Linked DNA regions of Sus scrofa. The protein of the gene in region 1 interacts with the protein of each later gene in a pairwise test. Links are inferred from orthologs where the notes say so. Each region holds a gene or a part of one and is shown in the gene's direction. Other genes may lie near its edges.

The links.
Region 2: the proteins of KRT40 (region 1) and ATPAF2 interact in binary tests that used the Homo sapiens proteins (3 or more experiments, as listed by UniProt). The two-hybrid records come from large-scale screens. The link is inferred for Sus scrofa from reciprocal best matches to the Homo sapiens genes KRT40 and ATPAF2.

The regions. Positions count from the first base shown.
Region 1 is NC_010454.4:21,475,268-21,486,111, forward strand, and holds the start of KRT40 (keratin, type I cytoskeletal 40), read left to right. Parts: upstream 1-5,457; 5' UTR 5,458-6,630; coding exon 6,631-7,065; intron 7,066-8,317; coding exon 8,318-8,400; intron 8,401-8,807; coding exon 8,808-8,964; intron 8,965-10,449; coding exon 10,450-10,611; intron 10,612-10,690; coding exon 10,691-10,816; intron 10,817-10,844. Other genes in the region: keratin-associated protein 3-2, read left to right, coding at 1,553-1,852. UniProt on the Homo sapiens protein: May play a role in late hair differentiation.
Region 2 is NC_010454.4:60,627,096-60,636,839, forward strand, and holds the end of ATPAF2 (ATP synthase mitochondrial F1 complex assembly factor 2), read left to right. Parts: intron 1-520; coding exon 521-618; intron 619-1,974; coding exon 1,975-2,055; intron 2,056-4,086; coding exon 4,087-4,199; intron 4,200-4,369; coding exon 4,370-4,485; intron 4,486-5,809; coding exon 5,810-5,947; 3' UTR 5,948-6,115; downstream 6,116-9,744. Other genes in the region: DRC3 (dynein regulatory complex subunit 3), read right to left, coding at 6,580-6,714, 6,784-6,915, 8,989-9,112. UniProt on the Homo sapiens protein: Plays a role in the assembly of the F1 component of the mitochondrial ATP synthase (ATPase).

The DNA.
Region 1 (10,844 bases):
CCAATTCTTAGCAGAGAAGAAAACGAAGCAAGCTTGTTCTCACTAGAAAGATAAATGGACAATGCACGAATGTTCAAACCCAACAGTTATAAAAGAAATACAAATACTACAATAATAAAATTTCATTTTTCACCCACCAAATTGGGAAACACTTTTCAAATAACAGATCCACCATAAGCATAGGGAAACAGGAATTCTCAAACAGAGTTGCTAGGAATACATAATAGGGAAAAAAAAAAAAAGGTAAATAGACCCATTTCTGGAGAGCAGTATGGCAATGAATATCAGAAGCCTTAAAATATCACTCCTTAATGTTTGGTCCAATAATTCCACCCAGTAATTACTCTCGTTTCTGAAGTGATCAGGAAAGTGAATGAAGATTTATAGACAATAGTAACTATGGCCACAATTATCATAAAGTTGCAAATAGCTTAAATGATGAAAAAGATAAGATTTTTAGGCAACTTAGAAATACAGTTTTACAATGAACACTAGGAAATACTAAAAATAACGTTATCAAATATACTTAAGAATACAAGATAATGAAAATGTATATGTTTAAGCAAAAAGGCAAGTTATACGACAGTAGGCACAATATGATTCCAAGGAGAGTTCTCTGGTAGCTCAGAGGGTTAAGGACCCGGAGTTATCACTACTGGGGCCCAGGTTTGATCCCTGGCCCCGGAAATTCCACATGCCGAGAGTGTAGCCAAAGATAGATATGATATATATATTATATATTTTATATATATATATGTAACTCCTGTGATTTAATAAAATGATAAACAAATGTATAGAAAAATGACCAGAGGGATATATGGAAACATTAGTAGAGAATTTCTCCTGATGATAAAATTATGGATGATTTGTCTTCTTTATACCTTTCTATGTAGTTCAGAGTTTTAAATGAATACATAATATGTGATGATAAAGACTGGAAAAATAGCGTATTTCCCCATATTAATGTAATTTTGATCTTCAGAAGTACCCAGACTAAACTAATACAATATTCCATATCGATGACACATCGATTAAAAATTAGATAATTTTTTAAAGACCCAAAAGCTAAAAGAGAGTTACTGAAACGAGGTTCTTCTCTTTAAAACAAGAATACTTCATCAGACCAACGGGTCATGAGAATAAAAACTGAGCAGCACCAGAGAAGAGACCTACATACTACAGGCACACATCACGCATATTCCCGTCAGGGCTGGTGTTGGAATTATAATAGCAGAAGCCTTCAGTGATACCTCATAAAGCTTGTGTTCCAGTGACAAATAGCAAGAGTAATCAGTTCCGATTTAGCAATGAACTCAAATAAAGGTTAATTAGGAAACTAGAGACTCTTTACAAGCCTCTAAATGTCAAACCAATCAAAGGATAATGGGTGCACTAACACAAACAAGAACCAGGAAAGAAGCCTTCTGGTTGGACCAACACCCACTGGAGAGGATATATAAGAGCTCCAGAGCAAAAGAGAGACATTCACATCTCAGAAGAAGTCCCAGCTTTCTTTAAATCAAACCGATCAAAAACACAGTTTCCCAACACCATGGCCTGCTGTGTTGCCCGATGCTGCAGCGTCCCCACCGGCCCCGCCACCACCATCTGCTCCTCTGACAAATTCTGCCGGTGTGGAGTCTGCCTGCCCAGCACCTGCCCCCACACGACTTGGCTATTGGAGCCAATCTGCTGTGACAACTGCCCCCCACCCTGCCACATCCCTCAGCCCTGTGTGCCCACCTGCTTCCTGCTCAACTCCTCCCAGCCCACCCCTGGCCTGGAGACCCTCAATCTTACAACCTACGTTCAGCCCGGCGGCAGTGAGCCCTGCATCCCAAGATGCTGCTGAGTGATGACTGCTTTGCTCGGAGCCTGATGTGGAACGAGTCAACCCAGAAGCTCTAGTATTCACCTGTCTCGGTACCTGCAACAAATGTGGCTCCACTTTCAATGCTGGAACAAGGATGGCACTCTCATTGACAACCTCCATAAAAAAGAAACCAAGAGATTTTCAATGGCCATGGATCAGAGATCAGTAAACTAGGGCAATTGGAATAGGTGGATGCTCATAGACTTGCCAAAGTTGCTTGATTCCTTCATGTGAAAGTGTATCTTTCTTTGGGTGCTTTGGGAATTCTGTTTCCAGTCTTGAATGGTATCTTTCTGGAAATTGAGGAACTTCTTCATGATTATCCTAATAAATTTTACATCTCTGGCATAGCACAAATGTCTATAGTTACTTCTGTTTATTTTTGTTAATTCATTGAGTGTATTTCTTGAATCCAAAGGTCTGCATTTTAAGAAATGAGAACATCTGAAAAATCGAAAAGGGTGCTTTTATTGTTCTTGTTGTTTCAAGAAACCTAAATGGCTTTGCATATAAAATGGTCCAGTATATCGGCATAGCTTCTCTGACTTTCTGCCCCAAAAATGGTTTAAGGTAAGACCAAATATGAAATAATAAATCAACTAACCCAGATGTGCCTGATCTGTTTTTGCAAAAAAATAAAATAATAATAACAATATCATCCATTCAATAAGCATACTAAAAATCTATTTTATTGTCCCTGCTAAAAATAAGCTGACTGTCTGGAGGATGAGGCAGATACATACACAATACCCTCTCATTCCCTCATACAACTGATCATTATTAATTGAATGCCAGGCATGGTATTATGATAAAAATATAAGTGCTCTACCAGTAGCATTAATAAACTTCTGTGGTACCACAAAAGTGAGAACCATTAAGAAATCAAGATAGCTGCCCCAAAGATAAAGAAGAGAAAGACATAGTCAAGGACAAATTGACTGAAGCTGGAGATCAAAAGACTATGATAAAGAAGACGCTGCCAAAGAGAGACTGGGCAGTGGTGTTAGGTCACCAACTGAGCATGGGAGCAGAGAAGCAGGAAAGAATTAAAAGGGGAATACTGAGGTTTGCTGCAGACATGGCAAGACACAAGTGGCATATCTAAATGAAGTCCAGGCAGCTGGAATTTGCACAGTAGGGTTCTAGGAGGATGAGGTATGAGGGAAGGAGCAAAGGTCTATGGAAAAGATCTGCTCAAGTACTTGCAAAAGGCTGCGTTGCGTGCACACAGGATGAAATTCCAAGATGCTAGCATAGAATGGCTGCTGGGGGATAAAGAGCTGAGTGGAAATACAAGAAGTCATTCAAGTCTAAAAGACTTTGAAGTTCCAGGCTTTCTGGAGCAGGCAAAGCTCTTTGAGTCCCTTAGACATTCAGTCGTATTCCAGAAGAGTAAGGAGCCTTATGAAAAGAGTAAGGATCACAGTCCCGAGTAAAGAACACACTAAATTACACCTGTCCCAGAAAAAGCTAAACCCACGCCTAAGGATCAAGAGAAAAATGATATCTAACCTCTGCTCAGTCAAACCTCATCTTTAAGGTCCTGAAAGTGAAAAAAAGTGTTAATCAGAATTCTAATACCTTGCAAAATAGCCTTCAAAACTTGAAAGGAAAGCAAAAATATTTTTAGATAAACAACACTGATTAAAAATGTCTGAAGATTTATACTGTGAAAAACACTAAAGAATAGTCTTTTTCTTTAAAAGAATAATTATATCAAATGAAATCTCAGACCTACAGGAAGCATAAAAGAATCCTGGAGATGGTCAATTTAGCAGAACTGCAGAGACTGTATTGCCAAGTAACATATACTTTCTCCTGGATAATCAGCCCATGAAAAATACGCTGAAGATTTGAAAAGTCACTTCACAAAAGAAGATATCCAAATGGCCAATAAATACATGAAAAGTTGCTCGACATCATTAGTCAAAAGAATGTAAATTAAACTGTAACACTTAAACGTGACCCAAAAAATCATTTTAATTATAAATGTCTGACAATACCACATGTTGGTGAAGATACGGAGGAACTAAATCTCTCAAATGTTATTGTCAAGAATGTAAAATGGTATAATTATATTGGGGGAAAATCTAGTAACATCCTTTTTGTAAAATTGTTTGGCTGTGTCCACATTATGCAGAAGTTCCTGGGCCAGGAATTGAACCCATGCCACAGTAGTGACCTGAGCCTCAGCAGTGACAATGCCAGATCCTTAACCCCTGGAACCTATGGGTGGACAATCAAGACGTGGATTATTTTTTCAAAGAAACTTTTCCTTTGACTCTAGGTCACTGTGGGATCATAACTTTCCTGTGGATATTTATAACTTTCAAGTATGTTTTTGAAACTTTGAACTCATGTCCTTTGCAGAACTGCATCTTATACCATTGGCACACTAAGAATTTTAAGCACAAGTGTTGAAATATTAAGAGAACTACTAAAATCAAACCCAACTCTGCTCAGAGTTCCCACTGTGGCTCAGTGGTAATGAACCTGACTAGTCTCTGTGAGAATTTGGGTTCCATCTCTTGCCTCACTCAATGGGTTAAGTATCTGGCATTGCTGTGAGCTATGGTGCAGGTCGCACAGTCAGCTCGGATCCCACTTTGCTATGGCCGTGGCATAGACTGGCAGCTCTAGCTCTGATTCAACCCCTAGCCTGGGAACTTCCCTATGCCATCAGTGCGGCCCTAAAAAGAAAAAACCCAACTCTGCTCAATGAATAATAAGTCATAAGAGACTATTTTAATGCATTTATTTAAGATTTCTAGGTTTGGCTTTGGTTATTTGTTTATTTTTGCTATCAGCTACCTAAGGAAGTAGTGCTCAGAATTAGAAAAAAACTGTTTATTCTAAATCAAGAAAATATTAATGTTGTCAGAATAATTGTTTTTTTCCCATAAAGATTTTAAAGATTCTGCAGACAAATTATTCTGTACATTTTTAAGGAAATAAATATCACAATTAAAGCCAAGAAAAGTGAAAAGTGAAGATAAAATTTAAGAGAGAATCCTGAAAACTTACATCTCAAATACCTATCCATTTGGTACCACAAGAGATTTCATCCAATGGAACTGCTGGAACTCATAGAATTTTATTCATAAGTTCCAGTATCTTTAATTTTCATGCTCTTGGGAGCTTCAAGATTAAATAAATTAGTAAAAAAGAGAAAAGAGGCTCCATATCCCAGAAGAAAAGCCTGTTTCTTCCTTGCCCCTACTCTGAAATGTAATTTAATTAATGAGGGTTTAGTTTCCCAAGAAACTAAAAGATTATAAGAGAGTTTGTATTTCATTTCTATTAGAGATGCAGTTTAAAAAAAAAAAAAAAAAAAACCACCGTATCCCTGATAGGAAAACGAGGCATTAGAAATGTGGAGACGGCAATTTTCAGGAAATCAAAGATGACAACTTCAGGAGTTCCTGTCGTGGCGCAGTGGAAATAATCCAACTAGGAGCCATGAGGTTTCGGGTTTGATCCCTGGCCTCAGTCAATGGGTTAAGGATCCAGTGTTGCTGTGAGCTGTGGTGCAGGTCACAGATGTGCCTTGGATCTGGCTTGTCTGAGGCTGTGGCGTAGGCCAGCAGCTACAGCTCCAACGGGACCCCTAGCCTGGGAACCTCCCCATGCCATAGGTGTGGCCCTAAAAAAGAAAAAAAAAAAATCAAATGATCACAACCCCATAACTTGATAACCAATTTATATTTTCGGACTGGAGGGCAAAAATTAAGCCCATCCATTATGTAAAGTGACTTGTCAATTTGCACCCAAGTAGGTATGGTTCACATACACACTTTAAACCCAGTACACACCTCACTCCTTTACCATGTGAGCACGGCGAGACCACAGAAAGCATTGCAAGGACTGCAAACCACACAGGACACTTTTATGGTGGTGACACAAACAAACAAGGGGCGCTTAAATGAGTGATATCACTTATAAGTGGAATCTTAAAAAAGATGCAAATGAACATATTTGCAGAACAGAAACAGACTCACAGACTTTGAAAACAAACTTGTGGGTACCAAAGGGGATAAGTGGGGGCAGGGAGGGATGGACCAGGAGGTTGGGATGGGCAGATGCACCCTGAGGTATATGGAATGACTGGCCATCGGACACCTGCCATATAGCATAGCGAACTCTACCCGGTATTCTGTAATAATCCATGCGGGGAAAGAACCTGTAAGAGAATGGATGTGGGCACGTGTATAACTGAACCGCTTTGTTGTCCAGCAGAAATTATCACAACCTTGTAAGTCAACTCTACCTCAATAAAACCTTAAAAAAATGAAAAAATGACTTGTAATATTAATTTTAAAAGAAGACATAAACCATTTTCAAGGCACAGGCTCAAAATCTGTGGGAATATTATTTTCCTTATGCCCAATCAATTGTATCTATAATTACTGATTGGCCAAATTTTCCCTTTTCTTTCCTTATTTGGTCAAAAGGAAAGTATTTCCTATGAAGATTTTCTGAAAAAAAGCATTTTTATCCTCCCGGCACATGGCAACAGTGTCCTTATTTAGCAACTTGAAGTTATGCCTGTTTTATGAGGCATAAAACTCTTCTTCAGCAAATAAACAACACTAATGAGTGTTCATATGAAAACTGGCACCGGAAAACATCCGGTGCTTTGCGTGCTTTGCGTAAATACCCATTTGGGGGCTGATATAAAAGTCTCCGGAGAGAAGGAGACTTTTGGAGGCAGGCAGCTGGAGTTTTGCAACTAGTCTCTGCCCTTCTCGTCTGATAGGATGGCTTCTGACTGTTCCCCCTCCTGCTGCTCTTCTGCGTCGAGGGCCGGGGCTTCTGATGGCGCGATTGCTTCAACCGGTCCCGTGGACGCCACGTGTCTCCCCAGCGCCTGTGCCACCTCCAGATGCCACACTCCCAGGTCCTGTGCATCAGCTGGTTGCCTCAGGCCGCGCTGCTTGGCCGGGAGCTGCCACGCTCCGTGCCTGGTGGGGAACTGTGTCTGGGGTGAGGATGGCGCGTTCAACAGCAACGAGAAGGAGACGATGCAGTTCCTGAACGACAGACTCGCCAACTATCTGGAGAAGGTGCGCGGGCTGGAGGAGCTGAATGCGGAGCTGGAATGCAGGATCCGGGAACAGTGTGAAGAGGACGCCCCGTCGGTGTGCCCTGATTATCAGAGTTACTTCGACACCATTGAAGAGCTCCAACAAAAGGTCTCGTATTTCATCGCCCTGAAGTCCCACCTTCCCAGTCTGTGACTTGCTTTATTTTTGTTCTGCTAGAGGCTGTTCTGTGGCAGGATACCAGGGAAAGGGGAGGGACTTCTCAGAGGTAATGCGATGCAGAGGAAAGTCAGGAGGCCTCAGCACCAGCCCCTAGGCTGCCGCTAATTACTAAGTGATCATGATAAAATAATTGACCTCTAAATTTACCTTTATCAGCTAGGGAAGGAGGAACAACAGTGTTATATCGAGAAGGACTTCTGTGTGACACACTGTACGTGTACACATGTACGCGTTTTTTTTTCTTTTTTGTCCCGTCCCACCCCCGCACACGGAGTTCCTGGACTGGGGATCAGATCTGAGCTGCAGTTGTGACTTAACGCTGCAGGTGCAGAAAATGTGGGATCCTTATCCCACTGTGCTGGGCCAGGATCGAACTTTCGTTCTAGCAGTCCAGAGCCTCTGCTGAGCCCACTGAGCACAGCGGGAAATCCTGTATAGTATTTTTAACGCAGATATTGAAATGTCTTTTGGAAGGGGCATATCTGCAGCATGGAGAAGTTCCCGGGCCAGGGTTTGAACCCATGCCATGACAGTGACAATGCCAGATCCTTAACTGCTAGGCCACCAGGGAACTCCCAAAATGCCATCTTTTTAATCCTATAATTTCACCTAGTAATTATTTCCCTTTATTACTGATGAATTTTTTATTATCTTGGATGGTACTATAGTCGTAAAACAAACTACTTCTGGAGAAAAACCTAAGTGCCAAGGGATACTGCAAAATGTCTTAGGTTGGAGTTCCTGTTGTGGCTCATCAGGTTCACGTGACATGGTATCCATGAGGATGCAGGTTCAATCCCTTGCCTCACTCAGTGGGTCAAGGGTCTGGCATTGTCACAGCCTGGGTCACAGACGTGGCTTGGATCTACTCTTGAGGTGGCTGTGGTATTAGCCTAAAGATGCAGCTCCAGTTCGACCCCTGGCCCTGCCTTAGGTGTGACGGTTAAAAAAAAAAGTCTTGTGTCATTAAAAAACTAAACCTTTTTATTTCTCCATTTCATTTATAACTGGTGCTCCTTTTTTTCTTCACAAAGTGACACGGTTAATAAAAGCAGCCTGAAAGCTACTTTATATTTTCTTGTAAAACTTTAAAAGATAAGTGATGCCTTAGTGGTTAAACAAGTAGATACTTGGGTTTCTTTTCACAGAACCACTTATGACATAATATCTTGCTTCCCAGATCTTGTGTACGAAGGCAGAGAACTCAAGACTTGCTGTACAGCTTGACAACTGCAAACTGGCTGCCGATGACTTTAGGTCAAAGTAAGGTTAATTTGAATTGGAAAATAATTTACGGTTGCCTCTTTCTCTCCTTCTCTCACATAGCTCCACACACACCACTGGTATTCTCTACATAATATTTTTTAAGCCAGAAGTAATTGTGAAATTTCCTTCTGTTTTCATCTCTAAGCAAACCCTATAAAATATGTGCTATGAAAATGCTTCATTCTGTGTAAAGAAAACAGAAGAAAATTCCAACCCCCCTCCCCTCCAAAAATATATATATATAAAGCGAAGAATGCTCACGCAGCTTGAATTTTCATTATTTGGGGAGTAGAAGGAGTCACGATATGTGGGTTCCTTGGGTCCACGCGTCAGTCATTGGTAGGCCCAGCGCTTTGCGCAGTGTCCAGCGGGGTAAGCACCGGCTGTGTCTCTTGCTGTGAAAGGTACGATGCTGAGCTGTCCCTCCGCCAGCTGGTGGAGATGGACATTAGCGGCCTGCGTGGGATCCTGGGGGAGCTGAGCCTGTGCCAGTCTGACCTGGAAGCTCATGTGGAGTCTCTGAAGGATGATCTCCTTTGCCTTAAGAAAAACCATGAAGAGGTGAGGAAAAGGGCAAAATCCCTGAACGGCTCTAAGAGGGGCACAGTTAAACTGACAGAACCCGTGTTGTGTATATAGATTGGACTTGAGCAGATGTTGCTTAAGGTGGAAGAAAAGGACTCGAGGCACTATTACTCCCCAGCCTGATCATTCTGGTGTGTCTCTGAATGTAACGGAATTAACCCCTGGCCAGGGCCAGCTGGAGGAACCAAACCTTTCACCTGCCACTGCTTTTGTGGCCGAGGCAAACCCACACATGGTTTTCCTGGAGGCTTTCTGCTGCTCTTAACTCTAACCCATAAGGTGTGAAAAGCAGGCTGATCATTGCAGAATATAAAGGCCATTTCAAAAAGGAAATAGGAGTTCCCATTATGGCTCAGCAGGTTAGGAACCCGACTAGTATCCAGGAGGATTCAGGTCCGATCCCTGGCCTTGCTCAGTGGGTTAAGGATCCGGCATTGCTGCAAGCTGCAGTGTAGGTTGAAGATGCAGCTTGGATCCAGCATTGTGGTGGCTGTGGTGTAGGCCGACAGCTGCAGCTCCAATTGGATCCCTAGCCTGGGAACTTCCACACTGCAGGTGCATCCCTGAAAAAGAAAAAAAAAAGGCAATATAGACTCATGCAGTATTTGGACAAATACTTTTAAATATGCTGCATTTATAAACTTTTAAAAATCACTAAATGTGGAGTTTCCTGGTGGCCTGGCAATTAAATATGTAGCATTGTCACTGCTGTGGCTCTGGTCACTGCTATGGCACAGTTCAACCCCTGGCCCAGGAACTTCTGCATGCATTGGGCATGGCCAAAAAAAAAATCATTAAATGTGAAGTGTATACTTATCTCTTTTTTTTTTTTTTGTCTTTTGTCTTTTTTAGGGCCTCACCCTTGGCATATGGAGGTTCCCAGGTTAGGGGTCAAATCTGAGCTGTAGCTGCCAGCCTACACCACAGCCACAGCAATGCAGGATATGAGCTGCGTCTGTGACCTACACCACAGCTCATGACAACACTGGATCCTTAACCCACTGATCAAGGCCAGGGATTGAACCCTCATCCTCATGGATACTAATCAGGTTCATTAACCACTGAGCCACAGAGGAACTCCTACTTATCCCTTATTGATGATGCTAAAAAAAATGAAGAGCTGGATGACATAACAAAGTCTAACTTCCCCTTGAACATTTGTTGACGATAATAACAGCCGACACTGAGAACTTACTGGGCACCAATAAGTGTTGATAAGTGTTTTCTATGTCTCTTAACTCGTGTATCTCGCAATAACTCTCTGGTAAAGGTAAAAATCATACCCATTCCACAGGTGGAGAAACTGAGTGATGAAACCAGACTCAGGTTAGGCAGTCTGAATCTGATCCCCCACTTTTACCCACTACTCCCCAAACCAGAAATGGGATGCCTTTGGGGTGTCAAGTTGAATTTTTTTTCCCACCACTCTGATATTATTTACTCCATAATATCCACCCACAGGAGGTCAACGTGCTTCGTGAACAGCTGGGGGACCGACTCAGTGTGGAGCTAAACACTGCCCCCACCGTGGACCTCAACAAGGTCCTGGATGAGATGCGTGGTCAGTATGAAACCGTGCTCGCCAACAACCACAGAGACATGGAAGAATGGTTCGCCGTTCAGGTGAGCATCTGGAGCAGCAAAATGCCAGGCATCCCGATTGTGCCCTATTTGCCTTCTCTTAATCAGGCCTGTGTTACAGACGGAGGAGCTGAACCAGCAGCAGCTGTCCAGTGCAGAGCAGCTGCAGGGCTGCCAGACGGAGATGCTGGAACTGAAACGCACAGCCACTGCTCTGGAGATTGAACTTCAAGCACAGCAAAGCCTGGTGTGTAAGGGAAAGATAACTGTTTTGT
Region 2 (9,744 bases), about 39 Mb from region 1:
TCCCCACCCCTACCTGCTGGGCGGTGGTCAGGAGGGGACGAGACGGCGCGTAGACGGCCCGTGGTCCCCGGTGTGGACCAGCACGTGGACCCAGCCGGGCTGCCTCTGCCTCCCCCCGGCCCTGCCAGTGCTGAGCGCCCGGCTCGGAGCAGCCCATCGGGAGAAGAGTCCCGCACCGGGTGTGGCCGCTCGTGCCCGGCTGGTCCACCGCGGGTCAGGCTGATTCTAGCTTCCACATCCTCTGCTGAGCCCGGCCTCCCGGGGCCTCGGGCACGGCTCTGAGGTGGTTAGAGGTGCGGTACTTGCTGGAACGCGGTACCTGCCAGAAGGCACCTGCAGAGCCTGGTAGCAGAGAGCCTGAGTCCGTGGGGACCTCGTCCATCCCGCGGCTGGGTGTCCGGGGCCCCGGGGCCCAGCGCCAGGCGCGGAGCCCAGGCGGGCGGGCGGGCAGGCTGGGCAGCCCTCAGGCGCGGCCTTCCGCCCTGGCCGCGGTGCTGAGGGCCCTCTGCCTCCGATTCAGACCACGCTGTGCAACACCTCCCTGGACAACCCGACCCAGCGAGACAAGGGCCAGCTGATCCGGGCGGCACTCAAGTTCCTGGACACCGACACCGTCTGGTAAGGGGCGTGTGGGCAGCTTCCCGGGGCCCTTCACCCGGGACCTTCTCAGTGGAGGAAGAGGCAGGCCCTTCACCGCCTGGACACGGAGGAGCCCGGCAGCAGCCCCTGGCCCGGGGGCGCATGTGGCTCCTGCAGGCTTGAGGACCTGGGGGGTCCTTGCCCAGTGGGGCCTCTGACCCTGGCGGCCTCCTCGTCACTTGTCAGCCGGAGCAGGTGGGCTGAGCCGGCCTCCTCCACGTCTGCTGCTCCCCTCACGCTGTGGCCTTTAGCCAGCTGGTCAGTGGTGTTGACAGCGAGCGGAGGACTTAGCCGAGCAGCTCCGGGTGCCACCTGAACGCCTGGGGGTCCCGAATTACCTCCCAGGTGGCTCCTGAAAGCCACACTGGGCAGGGCAGAGGTCCTCCTGGAGAGGCTGCCGGCCCTCAGTGACTTGGGAAAGCTGGCTCCATTTGTGCTGGGGACCTTTTTTTTTTTTTTTTAAGGGCCACACCCTCGGCATACGGAAGTTTCCAGGCTAGGGGTTCAATCAGAGCTGTAGCTGCCGGCCTATGCCACAGCCTTAGCCATGCTAGATCCAAGCCTTGTCTGCGACCCACACCACAGCTCATGGCAGTGCTGGATCCTTAACCCATTGAGCGAGGCCAGGGATCGAACCCGCAACCTCATGGTTCCTAGTTGGATTTGTTTCCGCTGTGCCACGACGGGAACTCTGTGTACTAGGGACCTTTTGATTACAGGGAACGGAACCCTCCCAGCCTCACTCAGGAAAGCACTTTTCTGGGGAACGGTCCCGGCGCCCTGCTGGCACTGGAGGGTGGGAGTGCCTCCCTCTGCCCTGGAGGCCACCTCTCTGCCCCCTTCTACTCACGCCAGCCTGGCCTCCCCTGCACCCATGCAGGTTCCTATCCCGGGAGGCCTTGCCCGCGGCTCCCTCGGCTCACCCTGCCTCCCGTGGTGCAGCCTGGCATCAGGTGGCATCTGTAGCTGGGAGGCGGGTGGGCTCGTGAGGGGCGGGCAGCGCAGTCTGGCCAGGGCACTGCCTCTCAGAAGGGGAGGGTCAGCAGGGACGTGGGGTCGGAGCTCGGGGACCAGGGGCAGTGCCGCAGGCCTTGACCTGCAGGGAACTAGTGACATTCGGGGCAGCTTACGGCAGAAGCCCCAAGGGCTTGTGCACATGTGGCGCTGCTCTCCACACCTGTGCATCTCCAGTGAGGTCCCCGGTGAGCCCAGGCTACACCTGCAGAACCACTGCCCTGGGGGCAGACCTGGGGGCGGGGGCGGGGGCAGGTTTATGCTGCCACTGGATGAAGGTCATGCTTTTTTATGAACGGGGTACCCTTTGCACTGAATTAGCTACAGGGTGGAAGAGCCGGAGACGCTGGTGGAGCTGCAGAGGAACGAGTGGGACCCGGTGATCGCCTGGGCCGAGAGGAGGTGAGCCACTTGGCAGGCCCAGGGGACTTGGGGACAGGGCTGCGCCACCTTGGGGACAGGGCTGCGCCGTGCTTCTGCCGCTGTTGGCTGTGTGACCTTGGGCTGGTGACTGGATCTCTCTGAGCTTCCTTGTCGATGCGGGGGGCTCACAGCCCCTGCCTCCCAGGGTGTTGTCAGGAGTAACCACAGCACGCCTCCTTCCAGCACGTGGCGAACGCCCCACCGCCAGCTGCCGTCCTGATCCTTGTCACAGCTGCTGCGCGCCTGAGTCACGGAGCAGCGTGTGTGACGTAGACACACAGAGAGGAGCCTGGCGGCGCGACCGACTGTGTAGGGCCTGGGGCTCATGCTGCCCCGGCTTTTTCCTCAGCAGGAGACGCTTTTTTTTTGGCTTTTTAAGGCTGCGGGTTTCCCCGACCAGGGGTCGAATCGGAGCTGTAACTGCCAGCCTACACCACAGCCACAGCAAGTCGGGATCCAAGCGGCAGCTGCAACCTACACCACAGCTCATAACAGCACCAGATCCTCAACCCACTGGGCAAGGCCAGGAATGGAACCTGCAGCCTCCCGGATGCGAGTCAGTTAACCCATGAGCCGTGATGGGAACTCCCCAGCAGGAGACTCTTGTGCCAGGCGGAAGAGCTTGTTGGTGTGGTGGCAAAGTTAACTCAGTTTCGCTTTGTTCCAGGGGTGGGGACAGGCCCCACCCTGTCTCTCTGCCACGGGGAGTGGTTCGCGGAGTGTTTCTGATCTGTACACACTTCCCGAGTGCCCACGACGTGTCAGTGCCCTTGGCTTTGTGGCAAGAGGTGGAGCCAGTGCGGCCAAGGATCAGAGAAAACCTGGCGCCAGACCCCTCGCCAGACCGTGAGGGCCTGACAGCAGCCACGAGCCTTTGCTGCGCTCTCAGCAGAGGGCTTTTTCTGGCACTTGAGATTTCTTATCCTTAGCAAGGAAAACATGGCCACTTCCTGTGTTCCTTTTGTGCTGTTAGAAATTTCAGGAAGAATGTTTCTGAACCAATGGAAAAAATCTATGATGTATGTAGAAAAATTATAAAAGTTGCTTTTATTCTGTTACATTTTTCTTGTTTTATAAAAGCGTGTTAGAGCATTCCTGAAACCAGTTCACATCCCAGACCAAAAGCCATGCCATGCATGTAGCAGAGGCCGAATAAATACATGAAAAAGTGATTGGCAGAGAACAGGTACACATACTTTTGTAAGGAAAATAATATTTAAAAGAAGTCATGGAGTTCCCATCATGGCTTAGCAGTTAAAAACCCAAGACTCGGATCCATGAGGACACGGGTTCGATCCCTGGCCTCACTCAGTGGGTTAAGGATCTGGCGTTGCTGTGAGCTGTGGTGTAGGTCGCAGACGCAACTGGGATCCAGCATTGCTGTGGCTGTGGATTGTGCCGGCAGCTACAGCTCTGATTGGACCCCTAGCCTGGGAACGTTTATATGCCGTGGGTGAGGCCCTCAAAAGACCAAAAAAAAAGTTGTTTATGGTGCGTCTGCTATTGAGCACGAGTGCTGGGACCCAGGTTCCATCCCCAGCCGGGCACAGTGGGTAAGGATCCGGCATAGCCACAGCCGCAGCTTGGGTCCTGACTGTGGCTCAGATCTGATCCCTGGCCCAGCAACTCCATGTGCTTCAGCCTGGCCAAAAACGGAAAACAAAGTCCTTTATAGCTCCAAGGTGAAAAACTTTCTTAAAAGGTTAGGAAGCGGGTAGGCCAGGGTTCTGATGGGCGTTCGGGCAAAGGAGTGAGGTCCTTGGGCGGCTCGGCGTGAGCCCTGCTCCCTTGCGTGCCAGCCCTGTATCTTCCAGGGCCACGTCTCCTCCTCTGGCTTTGTTCTTGGGAGACAGGAAATTACTGGGTCAGGGGGCCACCGACTGCCAGGCCAGCTGCTCCCAGAATCCCCGACGGGGCCCTGGACCAGGTGTGCCGCAGGCCAGGACTTTGGGCCCAGGCGGGAGCCGGCCTCCCAGTGGGACAGGGACACGCGACGCCTCTTCCTTTCAGGTACGGCGTGGAGATCAGCTCCTCCACCAGCATCCTGGGGCCCAGCATCCCCGCCCGGACTCGAGAGGCACTGGTCAGCCACCTGGCGTCTTATAACATGTGGGCCCTACAAGGTACGTGGTGCTGGGGTCTTGGGGGTGGAGCAGACGCCCCTGGAGAAGTGTGGGGAAGCGTCCCACACACACCCCCCTCACTGGGGCTCAGGGACTCGCAGGGAGCGATGTGGTGACGCCCTCTGCAGGGTGAGGCGCCCCATGTCCTGACCTGGCCTGTGTCCCTGAAGGGATCGAGTTTGTGGTGACCCAGCTCAAGTCCATGGTGCTGACCTTGGGCCTGATCGACCTGTACCTGACGGTGGAGCGGGCCGTGCTGCTGTCGCGCCTGGAGGAGGAGTACCAGGTGGGTGCGAGACTTGGGTGCCCCCGTTCAGACGCACTGAAGCGCGTTGCAGTAAAGCTGCCCCACGCGCTTCCGAGCTCGCGTGGAAACCGAACTCCAGGGGCTGAGAAAGGCATTGTCCATCATGCACCATGGCAGGGAGCTCGGCCTCCCTCCTGGCCTCACCGCCTCCTCTCAGCACCTGGCCGCCTGGGGGCTCCTGTTTGCCTGCCTCACACAGGGGGAGCCGGAGGCCCCGCTCGCTCCCCATAAGTCGGTGGAGGCTGGCTTGGCGCCCCCTCTGCAATGGAGGAGGAATGTGGTCCCCTAAAATGACCAGGAGCCCCATCCGTGCTTGTGGAGGCTGAGCCTGGGTGCCGGCCGTGTGCACAGGGCCACCTGCAGGCTGGGCAGGTGGCTGCCATCGTCCCAGGTTTGGTTTTGTGGGCTCTGCTGCGCTGAGCTTGCAGTTTCTGACCCGGAATCTGGACGGCGTTGTCTGCGGTCCCCTCGTCCCCTCTCCAGCTTCCCAAGGCTAATTGCAGTTCCACATGGCCCCTAGCGGGGGGAAAACCCTTTCATGATGACAGTATTTCCCACGCTGGTCCCATCGTTTGCTCAGAGAAATGCCAGGGGAAGAAGCCGTTCCGTGTCGCGAGTGAGGCTGGGTGCTCCCCAGATGTCAGGGAGGTTGGTGGGAAGAGGGCGAGCTGGGGTCGACGACTGTGGGGCGGGGGGGGCGGTGTCGGGAACCCTGGCTCCTGTCCAGGCCCAGTTTTTGGCTGCGAGACCCAAGCCAGGCTTTCATTCTCTGAGCCTCAGGCTCCATCCCACAAAACACTTCTCTGAGAGTGTAAGGTGCTGCTCTGGGCCGCCCAGGATGCAGGCAAGGCAGATCCTGAGTTCCCTGTCCGGGCCTCTGAGTCCTAGGGAGAGTCTGCAGCCCTCAGCGTGCAGGCCCGAGGGGCCTCTGCAGGATCGGCTTCCCCAGGAGTCAGGGCCGAAGCGACGGCGTGGCCCTGGCTGGCTTATTTATCACACCCACTCGGTGGCCCGACTGGGGGAGGCAGTGCGTGAGTGAAGCAGCCCCCTGCAGGAGGGGCCGGCGTTCAGGGAGATGCACCTGCAGTGGGCGCCTGGCCCACCCAGCAGTGGGTCCCCCCGGTCCCCGCCCGCACCCGTGCCCCAGTGCAGTGCCGGCTTTGCCCACCTGCTGTGCCCGCCCAACCACCACTCCCCCGTGTCTCGTGTGTTGGGATGAGATCGGAGCCTCCACCCTCAGCCCAGCCATGAGGGAACGCAGCTCTGGCCCATCACCCAGCGGCCTGACCCGTCCTCCCCTCAGATGCAGAAGTGGGGCAGCATCGAGTGGGCCCACGACTATGAGCTGCGGGAGCTGCGGGCGCGCACGGCCGCGGGCGCCCTCTTCGTCCACCTCTGCTCCGAGAGCACGACGGTCAAGCACAAGCTCCTGCAGGGGTGAGGCTGCGAGCTCGAGAGACTCCTGTCCTTACACGTCAGTCCCCTGGAAGTGCTGGGGCCCAGAGTCCGCGCCCCTCGTCCCGCCTCCCCGCAGGGCTCACTGCGCAGCCCTCAGCCCCAAGGCTTTTCTTTTTTCTTGGTTTTTAATCAAACGATCTTTCCAACGTGAGTCCTTCTTGGTCCAACCTGCTTGTGTCCCCAGTCTTAGCAAAAATGATGAACCCTGGAAGTAGGCAGTCTTCCTTGTTTCTGGGTGAAAAGCCTAAGCGAGGCCGCCTGACCTGCACGTGTCCTGTTCAGGGAGCCCTGAGGCCCTCCCCGCACGGCCGCCTTGCAGGCCCCGAGGGCGGGCGGGAAGCAGGGTCCATCTGCAAGCTTCAGGCGCAGAGGCTCTTGGAACCGCACCCCCGCCCGTGCTCGGGGGGGGGGGACGCTGGGAGCGGCACCAGTGGTGGGGGTGGGGGGGGATGTGACAGCCTCCCCCAGGGCGGCGGCGGCAGCGGGGGCGGCGGCGGCGGCCTGGCAGTCCCCCTCAGCAGACACCCACTGCTCGACGGGGGCACGGAGGCGGGGAGAGGTGCCGCAGAGGCCTTTATTCTTCTCTCCGTCTGGAGAGGGCGCGGGGCTGCCGCCCTAGTCCAGGAGCTCGGCGCACTCCAGGGCGTCCAGCTCCCTCTGCGCGTGGTCCGCGTACTGGCTGATCTCCTTCACGCGCTTGCGGTTCCTCGCGATCTCGTCCCTGTGGATCTGCGGCGAGGCCGCGGGTCCCTGACCTCGCAGTCCCCCCCCCCGCCCGCCCGCCCCGCCCCCAGGTGCACCTCGCGGGTGGTCACTCACTTGGTCCAGCAGGTGTGTGCACCAGGCGTGGACCTTGGTCACCAGCTCGTCCTCCCGACTGTCGATCTTGAGGAGGTGGACGTCGTGCGACGCCCCGACCGCATTGACCAGCGTGTCTTTGTCGACAAAGAGCTGGGGAGGAGCGGGACAGGGCGCGAGAGTCGGTCTGGCTTCCGCTGCCCGGGTCAGAGGCCGCCAGAGCCAGAGGGAAAGGGGCCCCCACCAGGGGAAGTGGCGCCCACCCTGCGTTCCCACTTCCTCTGGCTCATTTCTGGTGCCCACGCCAGGAGAGGGCCCAGGGGGACCTCCCCGAGGTTCTCAAGCCCGACACGCCTGAGACCCGCCCACTTGGTGGGCCGCATGAGGCTGGTCGAGGGACTGAGGCTGCTCTGAGGATGGAGGGCCCCCAAACGGATGGAGTCACCCCTGTCAGACCTGGGCCCCCTTGGGCTCCTGCCTTCTTGCTCCCCCCGAGTCCTACACCGCGTGGGACACTGCGGGGAGCGACCCCCCGCCAGGCCTGGCCGGTCCAGGTGTGTTCATGTGCTGTGCACAGGCCACTTGCCCCGACAGCCCAGAGTCCAGAGCAGGGAGCGCTGCCGGAGCCTTTGCCAGCGGCCGCTTCCGCTTTGCGGGGAGGGGACAGCGAAGCACCTGCCAGCTTACACCTGCAGGAGGGCGGGGCAGAGGTGCAGGCGGGCTTGCTGGAGTGGCCACCCTAACAGTCTCCAAAATACGGGCGGTGGATCTCGAGGGTTAGTTTCTCCGCCGGCAGAGTACTCCGTGCTTGGCTGCACCTGGGCGAGCCACACCCCCCCAGGACCCTTCCGATGTGATGTTCTTGGCTCAAAGCGTTTTTCCAGAGAAGGTTCTGGGAATTCACGTGGAAAACAGGCTTTCAACCTCGTCTCACAGTTGCCCACTTTCCTGGCCACAGACTTCTTTCCAGGGGAAGGCCTGTCTGCACTGCGCTCGGAGGCCAGGCATGCTGGCCGGCACAGCCCACGGGAGGAGCAGCGGGTGACCTGGCTGCTGGCCCAGTCCCGCTCTGTCACTCGAGTGCACCCTCCTGGACCCGCAGGTCTCCTGTTGCCCGGACCCCGTGTTGCAGCTAGTGGATGTTGAGGGCACCTGGGGAGCGAGGCTGGCTGTGCGCCTTGGTCCCCCGAACCCTCCCAGGGCACCGCAGGACTCGAGAGGGCAGGAGTGCCCGGGTTTGAAGCCAGGTCCTCAAGCAGCATCGTCTCTGAGGCCCCCTCCCCAGCGTCCTGTTTGCAGACCAGAGTGTGTAACAGAGCTACCCCCCAAGGGTCCTTTGGGAGTTAACTTGTCCGCACGAGCCCCAGAGAGTGGGCTTCTGTTGCTAGCCCCAGCCAGCCAGCAGCCCGAGTGTCCCAGGGCCACACAAACAGGCATCAGGTGGCGCAGGGCAGAGCCGTCCTGGCAGGGGGAGGTGGCCCCTTTGTGTGTGACCCAGACCCGGGAGCAGAGTCCCAAAGAACTCGTGGCCCGTGGACCGTCCGTTGGGGGCTCCAGCATGGCTCTTGGGGGCTGCCCGGCATGATGACACTTGCCGGTGTCTGGCGGACACAGTGTCTGCTGGTGTTTGGGAAGGAAGGAGGTGACACGGGGGCCCCTGACCACGTGAGTCTGCCAGGAGCTCAGATACTGGGCGTGCGTGGTGGTGAGACGTGTCCTTGGCTTCCAGGGTTGCCCAGGCAAGTCACTGACAACAGCGTGGACCCGTGCCAGGGCCCTGGCAGGGATAACCGGCCTGCGATGGAGACGGTGGGCGTCTCCACGGAGCTGACAGGGAGCTGAGGTCTGAGCGAGGAGGGCCACACACAGGCGGCCTGGGGACAAGTGCGCCTGGGGGACGGCAGCTAAGAGAAAGCCCCAAGGGCGGGTTGTGCACAAGCCCACGATGGCCGGGTTTGGCCTTTCAGAGGGTCTGGGGCCGCTGCCTGGAGGGCGGGAAGGCCAGTGGTGCCGCCAGGGGCGGTGGGGCTTGACCCATTGGCCCTGGGGGTGTCAGTGGCGAAGGAAGGAAAGGGGCGCCCTTCCCAGAGCATGGCACACCTGCTGCTGGACCTCAGCGCAGGAGACCCGGGGCCTGAGCGCTCCTCCCTGGGGTGCTGGGCCAGAGACCCCAGCAGTGCTTCTGACCGCTGAGTGCCGCCGCCCCCCGCTCGCCCCCGCGCTCACCGCCCGCACGTCGTCGGGCAGGTCCTCGTCCAGCTCGCCCTTGACCGTCTTCTCCAGGGTGTTGATGGCGGCCTCCAGGAGCTTCTCGTGGTGGTGGTTCTCCAGGTCCCGGCACTGAGCCATCGTGCGGCGCGAGTTAAGCCGGGGCGGGACGAGCAGCCCCCCCACCCCCCGGGCAGGGCCCTCCCTTTGGCCCCGGGTCCCGCTCGTCCCTCGTCTCCATCCCCACCGCCTCCCTCCGCTCCAGCCCCTTCTAACGCAGCTCCAGAGCTCCCGCCGGGTCGGAACCGAGAGGCCTCTTGGAAGGCACCTGTCCTGCAGGCCTTTGCACAGGCCGCCTCCCGGGCCGGGAAGGTCCTCCCCAGCTTCCCAGCCGGCCCTGCGGCCCACCCTGAGGCCTCAGTTGGTGGAGGCTGCCTCCAGAGCTCTGCGCCCCCGCAGGACCTCGGACCCAGGAGGACAGGACGGGGTGACTTCTGGGGTGAACCTCTGAGCCCCAAATGTCCGCTCCTAACCTAACCTTTCTCCTGACCATCTCATCACGGATGAGCAGGCAGCCTCCTCGGCACCGAGGCCGCCCCGCCCCGAGGGCGTGCGCAGGGCGGGGTGTCCCGGAGTGAGGCCTCCTGGTGAGGTCAGGACCTGGGCTGTGAGCAGCAGCCTGCCAGGCAGCCCCCGATGGGGGGCCTTCCAAACTCTAACCAGGCGCCACTGTGCCGGGGGGTCAGAGAACATCCCTGGAACATTCCAGGTGGT